2 linked regions of the Elephas maximus indicus genome follow. The protein of the gene in region 2 interacts with the protein of the main gene of each other region in a pairwise test. Links are inferred from orthologs where the notes say so. Each region holds a gene or a part of one and is shown on either strand. Other genes may lie near its edges.

What was found. The genes of interacting proteins can lie anywhere in the genome.
Region 1: the proteins of RABAC1 (region 2) and SNX15 interact in binary tests that used the Homo sapiens proteins (3 or more experiments, as listed by UniProt). The two-hybrid records come from large-scale screens. The link is inferred for Elephas maximus indicus from reciprocal best matches to the Homo sapiens genes RABAC1 and SNX15.

Annotation. Positions count from the first base shown.
Region 1 is NC_064825.1:128,194,475-128,203,981, forward strand, and holds the start of SNX15 (sorting nexin-15), read left to right. Parts: upstream 1-5,067; 5' UTR 5,068-5,188; coding exon 5,189-5,287; intron 5,288-9,154; coding exon 9,155-9,190; intron 9,191-9,414; coding exon 9,415-9,507. Other genes in the region: ARL2 (ADP-ribosylation factor-like protein 2), read left to right, coding at 825-959. UniProt on the Homo sapiens protein: May be involved in several stages of intracellular trafficking. Overexpression of SNX15 disrupts the normal trafficking of proteins from the plasma membrane to recycling endosomes or the TGN.
Region 2 is NC_064829.1:108,959,829-108,970,170, forward strand, and holds RABAC1 (prenylated Rab acceptor protein 1), read left to right. Parts: upstream 1-6,180; 5' UTR 6,181-6,306; coding exon 6,307-6,362; intron 6,363-6,657; coding exon 6,658-6,870; intron 6,871-7,204; coding exon 7,205-7,302; intron 7,303-8,661; coding exon 8,662-8,763; intron 8,764-8,843; coding exon 8,844-8,932; 3' UTR 8,933-9,094; downstream 9,095-10,342. UniProt on the Homo sapiens protein: General Rab protein regulator required for vesicle formation from the Golgi complex. May control vesicle docking and fusion by mediating the action of Rab GTPases to the SNARE complexes.

The sequences.
Region 1 (9,507 bases), on a different chromosome or scaffold from region 2:
GCAGCTTCTCGGGAGAAAAGACCTGGCAATCTGCTCCTGTAAAGATTACAGCCTAGGAAACCCTATGATCGCTGTGAGTCAGAATCAACTCAGCGGCACATTAACAACAGTGGTGCCCCAGCCTGGGGGAGGCAGACCTGCAAGTCGATTATTCCAAGAGCTAAGAGGAGCTAGCCTGTACTGAGTGTTCTCTCTGTGCTGGGCTCTTTGCAGGCCTTCACTCATTTAATCCTCACAACAACCTCCTGAGGAAGGAACTACTATTATCATTTTACAGACGGGGGAACAGGCTCAGAGGGACTAGGAACTTGTCCAAGGTCACACAGCTAGCAAGTAGAAAAGCCGGGATTCAAACCCAGGCTTATCTGGCCCCAGAGCCTGTATTGTAACTGTTAGTCTAGCTCTTGAACACCAGAATGACAAAGAAGGGATTAGAATCTTGGTTCTGCCCCTGACAAGCTGTGTGACTTTAGGCATGTTGCTTAATCTCTCTGAGCCTGGGTTTCCTCCTCTATAAAGTGGCCAACACAATCCCTATCTCCTGGAACCTTGGGAGGAGTAGATGAGAGGACATTTGTAGGGCCCTAGTGCAGTCCCTGGACCCTAGTGGAGGCTCAGGAGCCTCAGTTGCTGTCCCATTACTAAGGGGCAGTGCTGGCGTGGCGGTGTACAGAGAGCCCAGGCGTCCCAAGGGGGCTGACGGACCTCCCAAGGCCAGGGGAGGCTGCCTTGAGCAGGGCTTTGAGGGAGACACAGATGTCCCTGGGGTTGCAGGTAGGCGGGGCCTGTGGTCACCTAGCCCTCCCGCCCTTCCGCCTTCCCAGGCCCTGGAACTGGACTCCATTCGCAGCCACCACTGGTGCATCCAGGGCTGCAGCGCCTTCACTGGGGAGAACCTGCTGCTGGGCATTGACTGGCTCCTGGATGACATTTCCAGCCGCATCTTCACAGCCGACTGAGCCGCCCTGGACGCCCACCTCCCAGTCCAGACCCTCCCTTCCTGCACCCCAGCCCCGGCCATACACCATCCGTAGGGGGTGGGAGTCAGCCAGCTGGGCTAACACTCCCCGCCCCCTCCACATCCTGCTGCTGCTGCTGCTGCCCACTGCTGCTCCTGGGCCAGTCGGCTCCCGTGATAGGAGGCCTGCTGCCCTGGCTGCTACCCCCACTCCCCACCTGGCTCCCCTGGGGCTGCCACACTAAGAAGGGGACACTGGACCTGGGAGGAAACAGCCTCTGCTGCTACCGAGGCTATGGGCCTCGTCTTTGCTCCGCTGTGAGAATAAATCACTCCTTGCTCCTGGCTGAGTCATCTGTTGGTTGTCTTAGTCTAGTGCTGCTATAACAGAAACACCACAAGAGGATGGTTTTAACAAAGAGGAATTTATTCTCTCACACTCTAGGAAGCTAAAAGTCCAAATTCAGGGTGCCAGCTCCAGGGGAAGGCTTTCTGTCTCTGTGGGCTCTAGAGGAAGGTCCTTGTCATCAACCTTTCCCTGGTTGAGGAGCTTCTCAGCGCAGGGACCCCGGGTTCAGAGGTTGTGCTATTCTCCTGGCTCTTATTTCTTGATGGTATGAGGCCCCCTTGTCTCTCTGCTCACTTCTCTCTCTCTTATATCTCAAAAGAGATGGACTCAATACACAAACTAATCCTGTAGATTGAGTCTTGGGTCGTTAATATAACTGCCTCTTAACCATTATGCCACCGGGGTTTCCAAACTGCCTCTAATCCTTCCTAATTAACGTCACAGAAGTAGGATTTGCAGTACATAGGAAAATCACGTCAGATGACAAAGTGGTGGACAATCACACAATACTAGGAATCATGGCCTAGCCAAATTGACAAAGTGGTGGACAGTCACAATACTAGGAATCATGGCCTAGCCAAGTTGACACATTTTGGGGGGATAGTATTCAATCCATACCTCTGGTCCACCAGCTTCTTAGAGAGCCCCTGAGGGCCCACAGTCCAGCGAGACAGAGGGAGCAGGTGGCCTTTGTCTGAGGGTTAACTGGGCACGGGAGTGAGAAGGTAGAATATGCTCAGAAGCGGCTCCCCGAGAACCACTGGAAGCCAGCGTCTGCCAGAGTCTGGAAGAGCCCTGGACCCTTGCTTGTGCCCCTTGCTGCCCAGCCCGGTTTGCAAAACACCTGTATGCACATATGTGAGGACATACGGTTGACATTTAGTATCCGTTGGAATGTATTCAGCTACAAGTCACAGCAAACTCAATGCAAATGGTTCAGTGATAGGAACATGTACAAACTCATGAGCTGAAAGGTCCCGAGGACATCGTCAAGGACCCGGGTTCTTTCTGTGTTTCAGCCCTGCCCTACGCAGCATCGCTGGCTTGTTCTCAGGGACCCTGCCCTCCCTGGTAGCCTCAGTCTCCAGCTCCTGGTCCTCAGCCAGCAATGTCTAGAGACAATCATGATTTTCCCTGGACTTCCCCTACTGCCTCATCAGCCAGAATTCACGTCACAGCCACCCTGAGCCAATGGCTGGCCAGAGGAATTTGAGTACCATGATTGCTTTAGGTAATTCAAGATTTACTCCCAAATTGGCACTAAGATGCCCAAATCTGGGTTCTGTTAGGATGAAAATAGGCCTTTTCTTTTGCTGTGTTAATGAGGTCATACCACCACTAAAGGGTAGATCTTAAACCTAGGGATTTCTGAGTCATGAGAAGATCAGAATAGACGCAGAGACGCACGTGAGGGTCGTCTACAAGCCAAGGAACATTAAGGAACCAGGGAATGCCTGGGGCCACTGATGCCATAGTATCCATCTTGCACAGAAAACACACGGCAGGGGTTTCTAATTCTGTACATGGAAGGGTCGTCTGTATGTGTTCTAAGACAACATCGTTCTTGGTTGGCCACCCAACTAAAGCCCTGTTTCCAAATAGGATCGCATCCACGGGTACAAGGGCCAGGAATTCAACACATATTTTTGGGGAACACAATTCAGTCCATGACACATCCAACCACAGTAAACTTGGCCGTCCACTGATACCATGAGTCAGCTCAGCTTTCAGGCCTCCCTGGGGACCCTTCGTCAGCAACAGCATTGATTTAAAAAGTGACTTATGCACGGTTAGAGACAAAAGAGAAAATAATAAGAGTACACTCATCACTCAGGAATGTGAACTGTCAAAGGCATACTCATCACCGAAGAGTATGCACTGTGGCATACCCAGCAGGAGCCTAAAAGCAGGCCCCCTGCACTGTGAGCCTTCAGCTTTTCCATCTTCCCTGCCTTCTAAGGAGGACTTCTATGGCTCCCGTTGCTCCTCATGGCAATGGAATTGGTGGAGTTGGAGACCTGGAGAAGGCCAGGGGCCAAATTGATCTAGAGAGGAGAGGGCTTGGAGAAGACTGGGAGAGACAAGAAGGAAAGGGGAGGATGTGGGAGAGGCTGGGCCAGGGAGCAGAGTGGGAGGGAGAGATGGCAGACAGGGAGACTGGAGCCCCTGTTCCTCCCAAGAACTTTGGAGAGCAGGAGGCATGTCTAACGAGGTCTTCTAAGGAGTCCTGGTGTGTACTGTGTGTGTTTTATGCAAGACAGATGAGTCACAGCTTCCTCCTGAATACCTTTTGGGTGGCCTGCCATGTCAGGGCTCCCAAGAATCTGATTCTGGAGCATTTCCTTCTGGAGACCCGTCTTCCAGTGGCCCACACACCTGAGTTCCAGTAACAAGTGTGGCTGTTTCTTGAGCACTTGCCCCACCCTATCACATTTGAGCCTCACAACCACTGGGTGGGTGGTGCTATTTTTTATCAGTCAGGGCCCTGATGGCCAGCCACACACACGGATTCCAGCTGCCATCAGCAGAAAGGACATTTCTTGGAAAGATACTAGGCATTCACAGCATCCCAATGGAGGTCAGATGGCCAGGCTTGGGAAAGAGCGCGCCAGAGGTGGAGCAGCTAGACCTGTGGCCAAAATTGTTCTAGCTGTGCCCTCTGCCCCCCACACGAGATTCAAAGCCTCTGGAGAGAGTGTCCCCACCCCCAGAGGGGCCCCTGGAGCAAGGAAGGAGGAGCTGTCCCCATTGGGTTCTGGGGTAGAAGGCTGGAGAGCTACACATACTAGAGAAGCCCCTGCAAACAGAAACTGGGTGCTGCTGTGCTCACAGGAAGAGGCGGGGGAATGCTGGGCAGGCCAACAAATGACAAAAGGACATGTCCACAACAGTATGTTCTATCATGAGCACCCTCATTCTATTAAGAGAAACTGAGACTCCAGCTGTTAAGAGAAATTCACAGAGCTAGTAAAAGGTGTGACTTCAGAGCCCAGGATGGCATCCTGCTTCTCCAGGGTTGTTTTTGCTTCCCCACCCTTCCAGAAAACGTGAATTAGCGAATCCTGTGGAGGAACCCTGTGGGTGGTGCAAATGGTTACGGTTGGTCTAGCTACCAACCCAAGGTTGAAAGTCTGGGAGTCCACCCAGAGGCACCTTGGAAGAAAGGCCTGGCGATCCACTTTCAAAAAATCAGTCACTGAAAACACTGTGAAGCACAGTTCTCCTTTGACAGGCATGGGGTCACCATAAGGGAATCCACTGGAAGGCAACAGTTTTCTTTTTTTGGGGGGGGGGGGTTGGTAGATGGAAACATGGAAATAATTTGACTATGTTTAACACCATTGGGGAGCCCTGTTGGCACAGTGGTTAAGAGCTCGGCTGCTGACCAAAAAGTCAGCAGCTCAAATCCAGCAGCCGCTCCTTGGAAGCCCTATGGGGCAGTTCTACTCTGTCCTATAGGGTCGCTATGATTTGGAATCGACTCGAAGGCAGGGTTTGGTTTGGTGGTGAACACTGTTGGACGCAATACAGGTTAGTTGGACGAATGGAGGAACGACGAGAACTGGGAAGCTGGGCAGACGTCGTTTGGAGGTCCATGATGAGGGCCTACGCTCAGATAGGATGAGCGATCAGAACCTCCCCAATCCCTACTCTCAAATTACTATGTTTACACTTTACCAACGACCAGGAACTTTTCTGACGCTCCCTTGGCCCTGCGCCCGGGAGAGAGCAGCGCTGTCACTTGCAACCAGCTCCCTGGGCCTGAGGATGAAGGGCGCAGGCCCGGGCCAGGCGGCGGCTGGCGGAGGCAGGCCCGGAGGGGAGGGGGCAGCGTGGAGGAGGCGGAGGACGGCGGTCAGCTCCGCTCAGGTTTTGCTGCCATGTCCCGCCAGCCGAAGGACGACTTCGTGCGGCACTACACGGTCTCCGACCCCCGGACCCACCCCAAGGGCTACACCGAGTACAAAGTAACCGCGCAGGTGAGGTGGGGCCCAGCGGAGACCTTTACCTTTTTAACAAGAGGTGGGCTGTTTTGTACCTTAAGGCAAGACGCTGAAGGAAGCGCCCATTTTGGTCGACCGAAGTGAATTTCCCCTTTAAGGGGAGTCTGCGGAAGGGCCTTCCTTTACTCCTTAACCGTGAGGGGGCGGGGCCGTTGTAGGACTCTGCCACTTTTAAAAGGGCGTGGACGGTATTTCAGGACCCGCGAGGTGTGGGTACCCACGCCCATGTGGTGTGTTGGTATCAGGCTGTAAATTTCTCAAAATTAGCGTGAAAACTCTGGCTTAGCCCAAAGACTAGATAGTTCTCCAGCCTCTTGGTTTGGGTTTTGTTTATTGGTTTGTTTGTTATTTACATAAAAATCTTCTGAAGAGTTTACGTATTTTTATTCTAATAAAAGAATTAACTTATCAGTGGTTTAAAAAACTGTACAGTTCAAAAAGACTTAACAGCCTTCAGCAGTCATAGCGGGATGCCAATAGGTAAAGACTGAAGTTGATATCTGAAGCAGTAATAACATGATAAGATGTTACATAGAGGCGTGGAAGAAATCATGAAAAGAATTTAAAATAGGAACAGTATCACAAAATCTCTAGAATGTTATACAAGGAACTGGTAACAATGCGGGCCTCCGGGGAGAGGAACTAGGTGGCTGGGGGTAGGGTTGGGAAAGACTGCATTGTATATTTTTTGTACATTTCAGAGTTTTGAACCAGGTGACTGTTAAAACTGGCCCATGAGTAACTATTAAAGTGGACCAAAAACAAAGACACTTCCCAAGTAATTCCAGCGCAGAGTCCTACATATTTAAAGTGTGCTTTCCCCAAATCGTTTATACTGTTTTCCCATGCTTAAAAATACAAATAATGGAGATCAGGTGGGAAGGCTGTAGCCAGGAGCTATAACCTTTTCCTATAAGCATTTCTGTTGGATTTTTTTTTTTTTTTAACCAAGTAACGTGTTAGTTTGATATATTTTTATAATTTTTAAAGATAAATAATTTACCCTCCCTTTTTTTTTCTCATCACCCTTCCTCCTCATGGAAGGAACCATCGTTGGAGCTGCTTATTTATCCTTGCAGATGAACTTTACATTTACAAACAAATATATGTATCCACTTTTTATTATTATTTGCACACAATGTCATTCTGCGTCTTGCATTTTTCACCTGCTGGTATTCCTCAATGGTCTTTCGGTTTTGTATTTTTGTTGTCGTTTCACTTTTAAAACTTTTTAAATTAAGATGTAATTTACAGATAGTAATATGCACAAATCTTAAATGTACAACTCAATAAATTTTTACATATGTATACATCTCTGCAGATACCACTCTGATCAAGATATAGAATGTTTCCATCACCCCAGAAACTTTCTTTGCCCCTTTGCAGTCAGTAGCCCCCTTGCCACGGAGGTACCCACCATTCTGACTTCTGTTACCATAGATTAGTTTTGCATGTTCTTGAACCTCATATAGGGGCCCTAGTGGTGCAGTGGTTAAGCCTTTGGCTGCCAACCAAAAAGTTGGCAGTTGGAATCCACCGGCCACTCTTTGGAAACCCTATAGGGCAGTTCTACTCTGTCCTATAGGGTCCTGTGAGTTGGAATCGACTCAACGGCACTGGGTTTGGTTTTGTCTTTGAATCTGATACTGAAAATACTCTTTTGTGTCTGGCTTTTTTCACTCAATACAATGTTTTTGGAATTTGTCCATGTTGTTGCATGTATAAATAGTTTGTTCTTTTTTATTGCTGCATAGTATTCCATTGTGTGAATATTCTACCATTTCTTAATTCATTCTTCTGTTGTTGGACATTTGGGTTGCTTCTAAAATGTTTTTATTTCTTATGAAATAAGAAAAGATTGAAGTTGTCAAGGATTTCATTTTACTTGGATCCACAATCAACAGCCGTGGAAGCAGCAGACAAGAAATCAAAAGATGCTTTGCATTGGGTAAATCTGCTGCAAAGGACCTCTTCAAAGTGTTGAAAAGCAAAGATGTCACGTGGAAGACTAAGGTGCACCTGACCCAAGCCATGGTATTTTCAATCGCATCATATGTATGTGAAAGCTGGACAATGAATAAGGAAGACCAAAGAAGAATTGATGCCTTTGAATTGTGGTGTTGGTGAAGAATATTGAATATACCGTGGACTGCCAGAAAAACAAACAAATCTGTCTTGGAAGAAGTACAACCAGAATGCTCCTTAGAAGCAAGGATGGCGAGACTGCGTCTTACGTACTTTGGAGATGTTGTCAGGAGGGACGAGCCTCTGGAGAAGGATATCATGCTTGGCAAAGTACAGGGTCAGCGGAAAAGAGGAAGACCCTCAACGAGATGGATTGACACAGTGGCTGCAACAATGGGCTCAAGCATAACAACGATTTAAGGATGGCGCAGGACCGGGCAGTGTTTCGTTCTGTTGTGCATGGGGTTGCTATGAGTCGGAACCAACTCGACAGCACCTGACAACAACAACAAAGTTGTATGAACATTCGTATACAAGTCTTTTTGTGAACATACGCACATTTCTTCTTGGTATATACCTAGGAGTGGGGTTACTGGGTCATAGGATAGGCTCAAGCATAACAATGATTGTAAGGATGGCGCAGGATCAGGCAGTTTTTAGTTCTTTTGTGCATAGGGTTGCTATGAGTCGGAACCGACTTGACAGCACCTAACAACAACAACAACAACAACAATGGTACAGACATATGTATAGCTTTATTAGAAATTGCCAGTCTTCCAAAGTGGTTTTGCCTTTTTATGCCCCCATTCTCATCAACACTTGATATTATCAATATCTTTAATTTTACGCATTATTGGTAGGATTGTAGTATCTCATTGGGATATTTGCATTTCTCGATGACTAATGGCGTTGAATATATTTCATAATTCTATAGATGATTCAAACATCTTCTTTTGTGGTAGATGCCTGTTCAAGTATTTTACACATTTTTAAAAGTTGGGTCGTTTGTATTTTTAACATTGATTTATAGGAGTTCTTTCTATATTATGGATGAACCTTTTGTTAAGTATAGGTTCTTCAGTGATCTTTAAATATGGTTTCTTTTACCCAAAATATCTTAGACAGGTCTCTGCTGTAAAAAGCAAAGGCCAAAGTTTTAAACCTGGCAAGTAGGATTAACCTCCTTACTTGGTATGTGGTCTTGTGCAGTTCATGTCCCCTCTCAGAACCTCCTTCTCCTCCTTTTTTCTCTGAGCATGACAATCACGTCTGCCTCACTGGGTTGTAGGATAATGAACAGAAAATGTTTTGGAAACTGCGAAGTGCTCAAAGCTGTACAACATTATTTTTCAATTATTATGAACACAACATAATGAAAGCCAAGTCTTCTTTCTACCCCAGGCCCTACCCCTCCAGGAGTCACCAACCCCAGTAACAGGTCCTTCTGTGTGCACAGTATTTGGGCACAGAACTTCCTTCTTTAAGGAAGTAGTGGCTCCTGACAGAGCTTCATTCTTTAGAGAATTTGGGGTTCTTTGGTTTCCGAAGGAGACCTAGGGACCTGCCCTTTGAAAGAACTGGGACAAAAGTTCCCAGGAGCTAGCTTTGGATGGAGCAGTCTGGACAGGCCTTTAGAGACCTCCCCCCGCCCCCCACACCACCCCACCATGTGACAGAAGAAGAAACTGAAGTGCCTGGTGGAAATGTAGCCAAAGTACACTCAAAGCGTTGAAGCCAAGGCACTGTGATACCAGTGGGCAAAGGGTATTGCCCCTTAGAGGGAAGCTAGGAGGTGTCAGGCATCCTCAGCTTTCACAGGGTCTTGAGGTGTCCGAGGTCAGTCTCTGGTCTCACCTAGTTCTTGCTTTTCTTCCCCAGTTCATCTCAAAGAAGGACCCAGAGGACATCAAAGAGGTGAGGTTCCTGGGAGGAAGGGGGCCCTTCCTTACCTGCAGCTCTGAACCAGTCACGTAGCAGTTGGTAATTCTGGAGGAGACCCAGCCCTCCTTCCTCTCTGCCCTGGGAGGAGGGGGCACAGTGCCCTAGTCCTCATACCCTGGGATCAGGCTGGCAGACAGCAGAGGCGGGGAGGTGGCTTCCACCTTGCTGGTCCAGGCCATGCCTCCCATCCCACTCAGGTGGTGGTCTGGAAGCGGTACAGCGACTTCCGCAAGCTACACGGAGACCTAGCCTACACCCACCGAAACCTCTTCCGCCGCCTTGAGGAGTTC
Region 2 (10,342 bases):
ATACTAAATGACACAGGAAGCATCACAAGATCATTCAAAAGCGGCCTCCAGAGTTTCAGTTTACAAGATAAACATACAAAAATCACTTGGATTCCTCTACATCAACAAAAAGAACATCGAAGAGGAAATAACCAAATCAATACCATTCACAGTAGCCCCCAAGAAGATAAAATACTTAGGAATAAATCTTACCAAAGATGTAAAAGACCTATCAAAGAAAACTACAAAGTACTAGTGCAAGAAACTAAAAGGGACCTACGTAAGTGGAAAAACATACCTTGCTCATGGATAGGAAGACTTAACATAGCAAAAATGTCTATTCTACCAAAAGCCATCTATATGTACAATCCACTTCCGATCCAAATTCCAACGACATTTTTTAATGTGATGGAGAAACAAATCACCAACTTCATATGGAAGGGAAAGAAGCCTCAGGTAAGTAAAGCATTACTGAAAAAGAAGAAGAAAGTGGGAGGCCTCACTCTACCTGATTTTAGAACCTATTATACAGCCACAGTAGTCAAAACAGCCTGGTACTGGTACAACAACAGGCACATAGACCAACGGAACAGAATTGAGAACCCAGATATAAATCCATCCACATATGAGCAGCCAATATTTGACAAAGGCCCAGTGACAGTTAAATGGGGAAAAGATAGTCTTTTTAACAAATGTTGCTGGCATAACAGGATATCCATTTGCAAAAAAATGAAACAGGACCCATACCTCACACCATGCACAAAAACTAACTCCAAGTGGATCAAAGACCTAAACATAAAGACTAAAACGATAAAGATCATGGAAGAAAAAATAGGGACAACGTTAGGAGCACTAATACAAGGCATAAACAGAATACAAAACATTACGAAAAATGACGAAGAGAAACCAGATAACTGGGAGCTCCTAAAAATCAAACACCTATGCTCATCTAAAGACTTCACCAAAAGAGTAAAAAGACCACCTACAGACTGGGAAAGAATTTTCAGCTATGACATCTCCAACCAGCGCCTGATCTCTAAAATCTATATGATTCTGTCAAAACTCAACCACAAAAAGACAACCCAATCAAGAAATGGGCAAACGATATGAACACACACTTCACTAAAGAAGATATTCAGGCAGCTAACAGATACATGAGAAAATGCTCTCAATCATTAGCCATTAGAGAAATGCAAATTAAAACTACAATGAGATTCCATCTCACTCCAACAAGGCTGGCATTAATCCAAAAAACACAAAATAATAAATGTTGGAGAGGCTGCGGAGAGATGGGAACTCTTATACACTGCTGGTGAGAATGTAAAATGGTACAACCACTTTGGAAATCTATCTGGCGTTTTCTTAAAAAGTTAGAAATAGAACTATCATACAACCCAGAAATCCCACTCCTCGGAATATACCCTAGAGAAATAAGAGCCTTCACACAAACAGATATATGCACACCCATGTTTATTGCAGCTCTGTTTACAACAGCAAAAAGCTGGAAGCAACCAAGGTGTCCATCAATGGATGAATGTTTAAATAAATTGTGGTATATTCACACAATGGAATACTATGCATCGATAAAGAACAGTGATGAATCTGTGAAACATTTCATAACATGGAGGAACCTGGAAGGCATTATGCTGAGCGAAATTAGTCAGAGGCAAAAGGACAAATATTGTATAAGACCACTATTCTAAGATCTTGAGAAATAGTATAAACTGAGAAGAACACATACTTTTGTGGTTATGAGGCGGGGAGGGAGGGAGGGAGGGTGGGAGAGGGTTTTTTACTGATTAATTAGTAGATAAGAACTGCTTCAGGTGAAGGGAAGGACAATACTCAATACAGGGAAGGTCAGCTCAACTGGACTGGACCCAAAGCAAAGAAGTTTCCGGGATAAACTGAATGCTTTGAAGGTCAGTGGAGCAAGGGCAGGGGTTTGGGGACCATGGTTTGAGGGGACTTCTAAGTCAATTGGCAAAATAATTCTATTATGAAAACATTCTGCATCCCACTTTGAAATGTGGTGTCTGGGGTCTTAAATGCTAACAAGCGGCCATCTAAGATGCATCAATTGGTCTCAACCCACCTAGATCAAAGGAGAGTGAAGAACACCAAGGTCACATGATAACTAAGAGCCCAAGAGACAGAAAGGGCCACATGAACCAGAGACCTACATCATCCTGAGACCAGAAGAACTAGTTGGTGCCCGGCCACAATCGATGACTGCCCTGACAGGGAGCACAACAGAGAACCCCTGAGGGAGCAGGAGATCAGTGGGATGCAGACCCCAAATTCTTACAAAAAGACCATACTTAATGGTCTGACTGAGACTAGAGGAATCCTGGCAGTCATGGTCCCCAAACCTTCTGTTGGCCCAGGACAGTAACCATTCCCAAACACAACTCATCAGGCATGAAAGGGACTGGACAGTGGGTAGGAGAGAGATGCTGATGAAGAGTGAGCTAATTATATCAGGTGGACACTTGAGACTCTGTTGGCATCTCCTGTCTGCAGCGGGGAGGGGAGGATAGAGAGAGTTGGAAGCTGGCAAAATTGTCACGAAAGGAGAGACTGGAGGGGCTGACTCATTGGGGGAGAGCAAGTGGGAGTACGGAGTAAGATGTATATAAACTTATATGTGACAGTCTGACTTGATTTGTAAATGTTCACTTGAAGCTCAATAAAAGTTAATAAAAAAAAAAAAAAAAGACAAACAACCCAATCAAAAAGTGGGCAAAGGATATGAACACGCACTTCACTAAAGAAGATATTCAGGCAGCTAACAGATACATGAGAAAATGCTCTCGATCATTAGCCATTAGAGAAATGCAAATTAAAACTATGATGAGATTCCATCTCACTCCAATAAGGCTGGCATTAATCCAAAAAACACAAAATAATAAATGTTGGAGAGGCTGCGGAGAGATGGGAACTCTTATACACTGCTGGTGGGAATGTAAAATGGTACAACCACTTTGGAAATCTATCTGGCGTTTTCTTAAAAAGTTAGAAATAGAACTACCACACAACCCAGAAATCCCACTCCTCGGAATATACCCTAGAGAAATAAGAGCCTTTACACGAACAGATATATGCACACCCATGTTTACTGCAGCACTGTTTACAATAGCAAAAAGCTGGAAGCAACCAAGGTGTCCATCAACGGATGAATGGATAAATAAATTATGGTATATTCACACAATGGAATACTAGCCAAACCCACTGCCATCGAGTCGATTCTGACTCAATGAAATACTACGCATCGATAAAGAACAGTGATGAATCTGCGAAACATTTCATAACATGGAGGAACCTGGAAGGCATTATGCTGAGTGAAATTAGTCAGATGCAAAAGGACAAATATTGTATAAGATCTTGAGAAATAGTTTAAACTGAGAAGAACACATTCTTTTGTGGTTAGGAGATGGGGGAGGGAGGGAGGGTGGGAGAGGGTTATTTACTGATTAGATAGTAGATAAGAACTACTTTAGGTAAAGGGAAGGACAACACTCAATACAGGGAAGGTCAGCTCAACTGGACTGGACCAAAAGCAAAGAAGTTTCCGGGATAAACTGAATGCTTTGAAGGTCAGCAGAGCAAGGGTGGGGGTTTGGGGACTATGGCTTCAGGAGACATGTAAGTCAATTGGCAAAATAAATTCTATTAAGAAAACATTCTGCATCCCACTTTGAACTGTGGTGTCTGGGGTCTTAAATACTAACAAGCGGCCATCTAAGATGCATCAATTGGTCTCAACCCACCTGGATCAAAGGAGAATGAAGAACACCAAGGTCACAAGATCATTACGACCCCAAGAGACAGAAAGGGCCACATGAACTAGAGACTTACATCATCCTGAGACCAGAAGAACTAGATGGTGCCCGGCCACAACCGATGACTGCCCTGACAGGGAGCACAACAGAGAACCCCTGAGAGAGCAGGAGGTCAGTGGGATGCAGACCCCAAATTCTCATAAAAAGACCAGACTTGATGGTCTGACTGAGACTAGAGGAATCCCGGCAGTCATGGTCCCCAAACCTTCTGTTGGCCCAGGACAGTAACCATTCCCAAAGACAGCTCATCAGACATGGAATGGTCTCGACAATGGGTTGGAGAGAGATGCTGATGAGGAGTGAGCTACTTGTATCAGGGGGACACTTGAGACTATGTTGGCATCTCCTGTCTGGAGGGGAGATAGGAGGGTAGAGGGGGTTAGAAACTGGCAAAACGGTCATGAAAGGAGAGACTGGAAGGAGGGAGTGGGCTGACTCAATGGGAGTATGTAGTACGGTGTATATAACTTTATCTGTGAGAGACTGACTTGATTTGTAAACTTTCACTTAAAGCACAATAAAAAATAAAAATAAAAAAAAAAGTGGCTGCCGCAGGATATGGACAAGAAAGCCAGAAATTCAAGTGGGATTCAGAAGAGGATGTAGAACAAGGGATTACTAATGTCAGACGGATCCTGGCTGAAGGCAGAGAATACCAGAAAGATGTTTACCTGTGTTTTATTGACTACGCAAAGGTATTCAACTCTGTGGACCATAACAAATTACGGATAACATTGAGAAGAATGGGAATTCCAGAACACTTAATTGTGCTCATGAGGAACCTGGACATAGATCAAGAGGCAGTTCAAACCAGAACAGGGGAATACTGCCTGGTTTAAGGTAAGGAAATGTGTGTGTCAGGGTTGTATCCTTTCACCATACTATTCAATCTGTATGCTGAGCAAATAATTCAAGAAGCTGGACTACAAGAAGAAGAAAGGGGCATCAATATTGGAGGAAGACTCATTAACAACCTGCACTAAGCAGACGACACAACCTTACTTGCTGAAAGTGAAGAGGACTTGAAGCACTTATTGATGAAGATCAAAGACCACAGCCTTCATTATGGATTACACTTTAACATAAAGGAAACAAAAATCCTCACTGTTGGACCAATAAGCAACATCATGATAAATGGAGAAAAGATTGAAGTTGTCAAGGATTTTATTTTATTTGGATCCACGATCAACACCCATAGAAGCAGCAGTTGTTGAACAATCAAAAAAAATGCATTGCATTGGGCAAATCTGCCCCAAAAGACCTCTTTAAAGTGTTGAAAAGCAGAGATGTCACCTTGAAGACTAAGGTGCGCCTGACCCAAGCCATGGTGTTTCAACTACCTTATATGCATTCAAAAGCTGGACAATGAATAAGGAAGACTGAAGAATTGACACCTTTGAATTGTGATGTTGGCGGAGAATACTGAGTATATAATGGACTGCTAAAAAAAAAAAAATCTGTCTTGGAAGAGGCACAACCAGAATGCTCCTTGGAAGCAAGGATGCCGAGACTGCGTCTCACATACTTTGGACATGTTATCAGGAGGGATCAGTTCCCGGAGAAGGACATCATGTTTGGGTAAGTACAGGGTCATCGAAAAAGAGGAGGACCCTCAATGAGATGGATTGACACAGTGGCTGCAAAAATGGGCTCAACCATAAGAAGGATTGTGAAAATGGCGCAGGACCAGGCAGTGTTCGGTTCTGTTGTACATAGGGGTCGCTATGAGTCGAAACGGACTGGACGGCACCTAACAACAACTTGGAGAAGTGGTTAAGAGGTTGGCTGCTAACCAAAAGATCAGCAGTTCGAATCCACCAGCCGCCCCTTGGAAACCCTAGGGGCAGTTATACTCTGCCGTAGAGGTTCGCTGTGAGTTGGAATCAACCCCGCCCTGGCGGCATAGTGTTTTAGAGCTCGGCTGCCAACCAAAAGGTGGGCAGTTCGACCAGTAGCTCCTTGGTAGCCTGATTGGGCAGTTCTACCCTGTCATATAGAGTCACTTTGAGTTGGAATCACTCGCAGCAACGGGTTTGATTTTGGGGGGGGGGGTGGGTTTAGAGTCTGAGAATGACCGCGTTATACAGTGTCATTGCACTGTCCGCGGGGGAGTACAGGACACCTGCTTCTACCATTAGAGCTCCTATAACGCCCACTTCCAGTAGCCTGTTTCCCGACCCTGACTCCCACACGCCTAGCTTCTGAACATAGAACTTCCGGAACGCTCGAAGGACACCCGCCGTCGCCGTATTTGGACTACATTTCCCAAGGTGCTTTGCGAGTGACCCTGCCATCATGGCGTCCATCGCACCAGACACGATCAGGACTACAACTCCCACGATGCTTAGCGACAGAACTCCTGCCCCCCGCGGCTCCGGAGCCTCGCCACGTCCGCTCCGCTGGGTGAGGCCGGGCTCGGGACGGGCGGACAGCGTCTACCGGGCCCGGAGCTCGTTACAGCGGTTCTACCCCTAACCGCGCAGACATGGCGGCGGAGAAGGACCAGCAGAAGGATGCTCAGGGAGAAGGGCTGAGCGCCACGTGAGCGATCCGGTTTAGCCCCCTAACCCAGGACTCAGGAGTGAGGGTCCCCAACTTCCCCCTCCCTCGGGTCCCAGGAGTCCAGGTCCCAGCCCTCCTTCTCTCAGACACGGGAGCCTAGACCCCGGGTCCCCTTCTTTTCTAGGACTCTGGAGTTTGGGCCTCCTTTGGGGTCCGGGATTTGGGCCCCCTCCCGAGCCCCCCCGCCCAGAACCCGGGAGTCCCGCCCTCTCAGCCTCCTCCTTCGGGGCTCCCGGCCATCCCCGTACACCGCTGACCCAGCCCTGCCCGCCAGGACCCTGCTGCCGAAGCTGATTCCATCCGGCGCGGGCCGTGAGTGGCTGGAGCGGCGCCGCGCGACCATCCGGCCCTGGGGCCCCTTCGTAGATCAGCGGCGCTTCTCGCGGCCCCGCAACCTGGGCGAGCTGTGCCAGCGCCTCGTTCGCAATGTGGAGCACTACCAGAGCAACTACGTGTTCGTGTTCCTGGGCCTCATCCTGTACTGCGTGTGAGTGCCTCCGGGGACGGGACGCCGCCCTTGCCTCGCGGGCCCGGCATCGCCCCTCCAGGTGGCCCTGCTTGGTCGATCCCGCTCTTCTCTGGCCGCCTCCCGCCCCCCACTGGCCACGCCCCACCTCTGTGGGGCAGCCCGGCCAGACCTTATTCCCAGAGGCCCAGACCCCTACTTCCTTATCGGCTTGGCCAGGACAGTGTGACCAGAGGTGACCCGTCTTTGCGTACCGTCAAGGAACCATTCTGCCATCTCCCAGTGTAGAAGGATCAGGGCCCCTGGCTGGACAAGCCCAGCTGCCTGACCCCTGTCTCCCCGCACTTCTCTCCAGGGTGACATCCCCCATGCTGTTGGTAGCTCTGGCCGTCTTCTTTGGTGCCTGTTACATCCTCTATCAGCGCACGTTGCAGTCCAAGCTCGTGCTCTTTGGTGAGAAGCCCCCTGCCTAGACGGAGCCCCGGCCCTCTAGTCCTGTCTCTTGGAACTTGAGCATCAGACCCCCAAATCCAAGCCTTTCTGAACCTAAGTCCGCCCGGGGCCTAGATCTATACTTAAAAAAAAAAAAAAAAAAACCTGTTCTGGTCTTTTCCAACTCAGAGCGACCCTACAGGACTGAGCAGAACCTCCCCATAGGGTTTCCAAGGAGGGCCTGGTGGATTCCGACTGCTGACATTTTGGTTAGCAGTGGAACTCTACGCCACCAGGGTTTCCACTATACTATGTCCCTCAAGCCTGATGGCTTAAGATCCCGGACATCCCAGATGCTCCCACCCATCTCAGCCCCCTAAACTGCAAAATGAGATACCCCAGAACTCATTCTCCACCTGGCTTCTCCTGTCCCTGAAATCTCCCCTCCCTACACCCTCCTCTAGCCTGTCTGCTGGAAAGCATCAACTGCAGGTACCCACATTGGCCACAAGGTGGCAGCCGTACATGGCCTAGATCTTGCGCCCTTCGCTTTCCTCCTTCCTGCGGTGGAAGCTGGAAGTTAGGATTTCTGAGAGAGGGAAACTGAGGCCTGTGGCTTTTGTAGAATACCTCGTGTGGTCCCAGCCTGGTACCATGCACCTTTGGGATGACAAGGGGGGCCTGGGTCCCCACCCAGGGGAAGCTCAAAGTTTGGAGTGGAGCCAGAGGGGAGTTGGGATCAGACAATCAGAAAGCTCTAAGACAAAGTTGTTCATGGGGCTCCAATTGAAATTCTTTCAGAAGCCTACAAGTCACATACCTGACAAAAGTGGACTGGGGGAGGGACATGCTGGGCAACCCAGGGTGCATCTAAGACAGAGCTACAACTTGGCTTCAGCTGACTGGTGTCACCAGAGAATGCAGGCCAGTGTGACCCAACCTTCCAGTCTTCCATGAGAAGCCAGAAGTCTGTTTTTCTGGGAAACCATTCAGTTCACTTGCCAGCCACAAATCAAATTCTTGTGAAACACTGTGCAAACTCAAAAAAAAAAACAACACACATCTGCTGGTCAGACTTGGTCTGTGGGCCACCACTTGGAGACCCCTGGTCTACATGAATGCAGGCTGGAGTAGCAGAGGCCTAGTCTGGAGCAGCAGAAGCGGGGTTGAAGGGCAGGGGCCTGAGGAGAGTGCTGTGTTCTGGAAGACAGTGGGGACCTGGGAGAAAGAAGTTGGGGCCAGGGCTCAGAGGGGCTTGGTTTGAGTTTAGATTTGATCTTGAGGGTCGTGGAGCTTGTGATACCAGTTGCGTGGTGGGGGGGGTACTCTGAGAGAGGGCATGGAGTGTTGGAAAAGCTGCCCAATGCGTCTGTCCCCCAGGCCGAGAGGTGAGCCCAGCCCATCAGTACGCTCTGGCTGGAGGCGTCTCCTTCCCTTTCTTCTGGCTGGCTGGTGCAGGCTCGGCTGTCTTCTGGGTTCTGGGTGAGTACAGGGTCTGGGTGGCGGGTGGGCAGTGCAGGCCAGGTGAGGAAGCGTGGCCCTGAGCTGCCCGTTTCCTGCAGGAGCCACCCTCGTGGTCATCGGCTCCCATGCCGCCTTCCACCAGATCGAGGCAGTGGATGGGGAAGAGCTGCAGATGGAGCCTGTGTGAAGTGGCCTCAAGAACCTGCGGGCCTCCCAGGCCTGCCGCTCTGCCCCGGTTCACCCCCATCCTGCAAGGCTCTCCTGCTGGGGACAAAGCTCCCTCCCACATCACAAGCCCAGGGAGGCCTCCCAGCTTTGGAAATAAAGCTGTTACAGTTGTTGTCCTGCAGACATTGTCCCAGTGTCTTCTGTGGGTCTGTACAGAGTAACGCTGGGCATACTGAGGATCCAAGACAGACAGGGCTCAGGGTGTGGGGGAGACAATAGAAAGATGTACAAGCAAGATATAGGATGTCAGATGGTGACAGGTGCTGAGGAGGAAGAACACATTGGGAAAGGAGAGCGTAGGGGGTCCCCGTGGCCACCCCCAGGTTCGATGATTGTCTGGGAAGACTTCCCGCGATGTGGCTTACAGCTGTACTAAGATGCATTGCAGTGAAAGCACACACCGCAATCACCAGAGGAGACCAGGCACAAGCTTCCAGAGTCTTCTCCCTGGAGTCACACGAGACACGTTTTGCTCCTCCCGCAGAGAATTGTGACAACAAGTGTGAAATGTTGTCTACCAGGGAAGCTCATTAGAGACTCAACCCAGGAATTCATTGGGGGTTGGCCACATAGGCACTCTGCCTACCAGGTACTAATACTCGAGACTCCCTGAAGGAAAGCAGGTGTTCAGCATAAACCATACAATTTGCACAGTTTAGACACAGTGAGCCACTCTTATCGGGCAACAGTGGGAACCCCACCCCTGAAATCCTGTTCCCAGATGCCAGCCAAGAGCCAGCCTTGCAAGCAGGCCTGCCACATAACTTTTCAGCACAGAGAAAGTACTGGAGATGGGCTGCAGGTTTAAGGAGGTGGCCAGAAAAGGCCTCCCTGAGAGACACTGAGCAAAGACCTGAATCGAGGCAAGAAGCAGCTATAGGGTCCTTTGGAAGAAGAGCTTTCTGGGCAGAGGAAGCAGCAGGTGCAAAGGTCAGGAGATAGGTCAAAGGCCGGGAGGCCACGACCGGAGCTGATGAGTAAGATAAAGAGTGGGAGTGAGGTAGAGGGGCCAGATCACATAGCCTGGTGTTCTGTAATCATGTCATACTAGGTACAGTCACAGGTATCTTTGATGGTGGGACACAACACAAAGACACTTGGGGAGGTGAAAGGGAGAGCTCTTTGTAACGTACAGCCCTAAACAGAAGAGGCTACCACGTAGGGCCCCACAGAGAGTTGAATTTGGGGACAGGCTGACAGCAAGCTGGGGATGTAGGAGGTGGCTTAAGTATACCAAGCGAGATGGCATTATCTAGGTTCTGAGGGCTCCCTGTGGATTGGCTCATTTGAAGTGTTGTCCCTGGCTGGTACCTGGTCCCAGGGCCATTAGGACAGGGGCGTAGTGGTCTAGGAGTGTAAGAGATCCTTA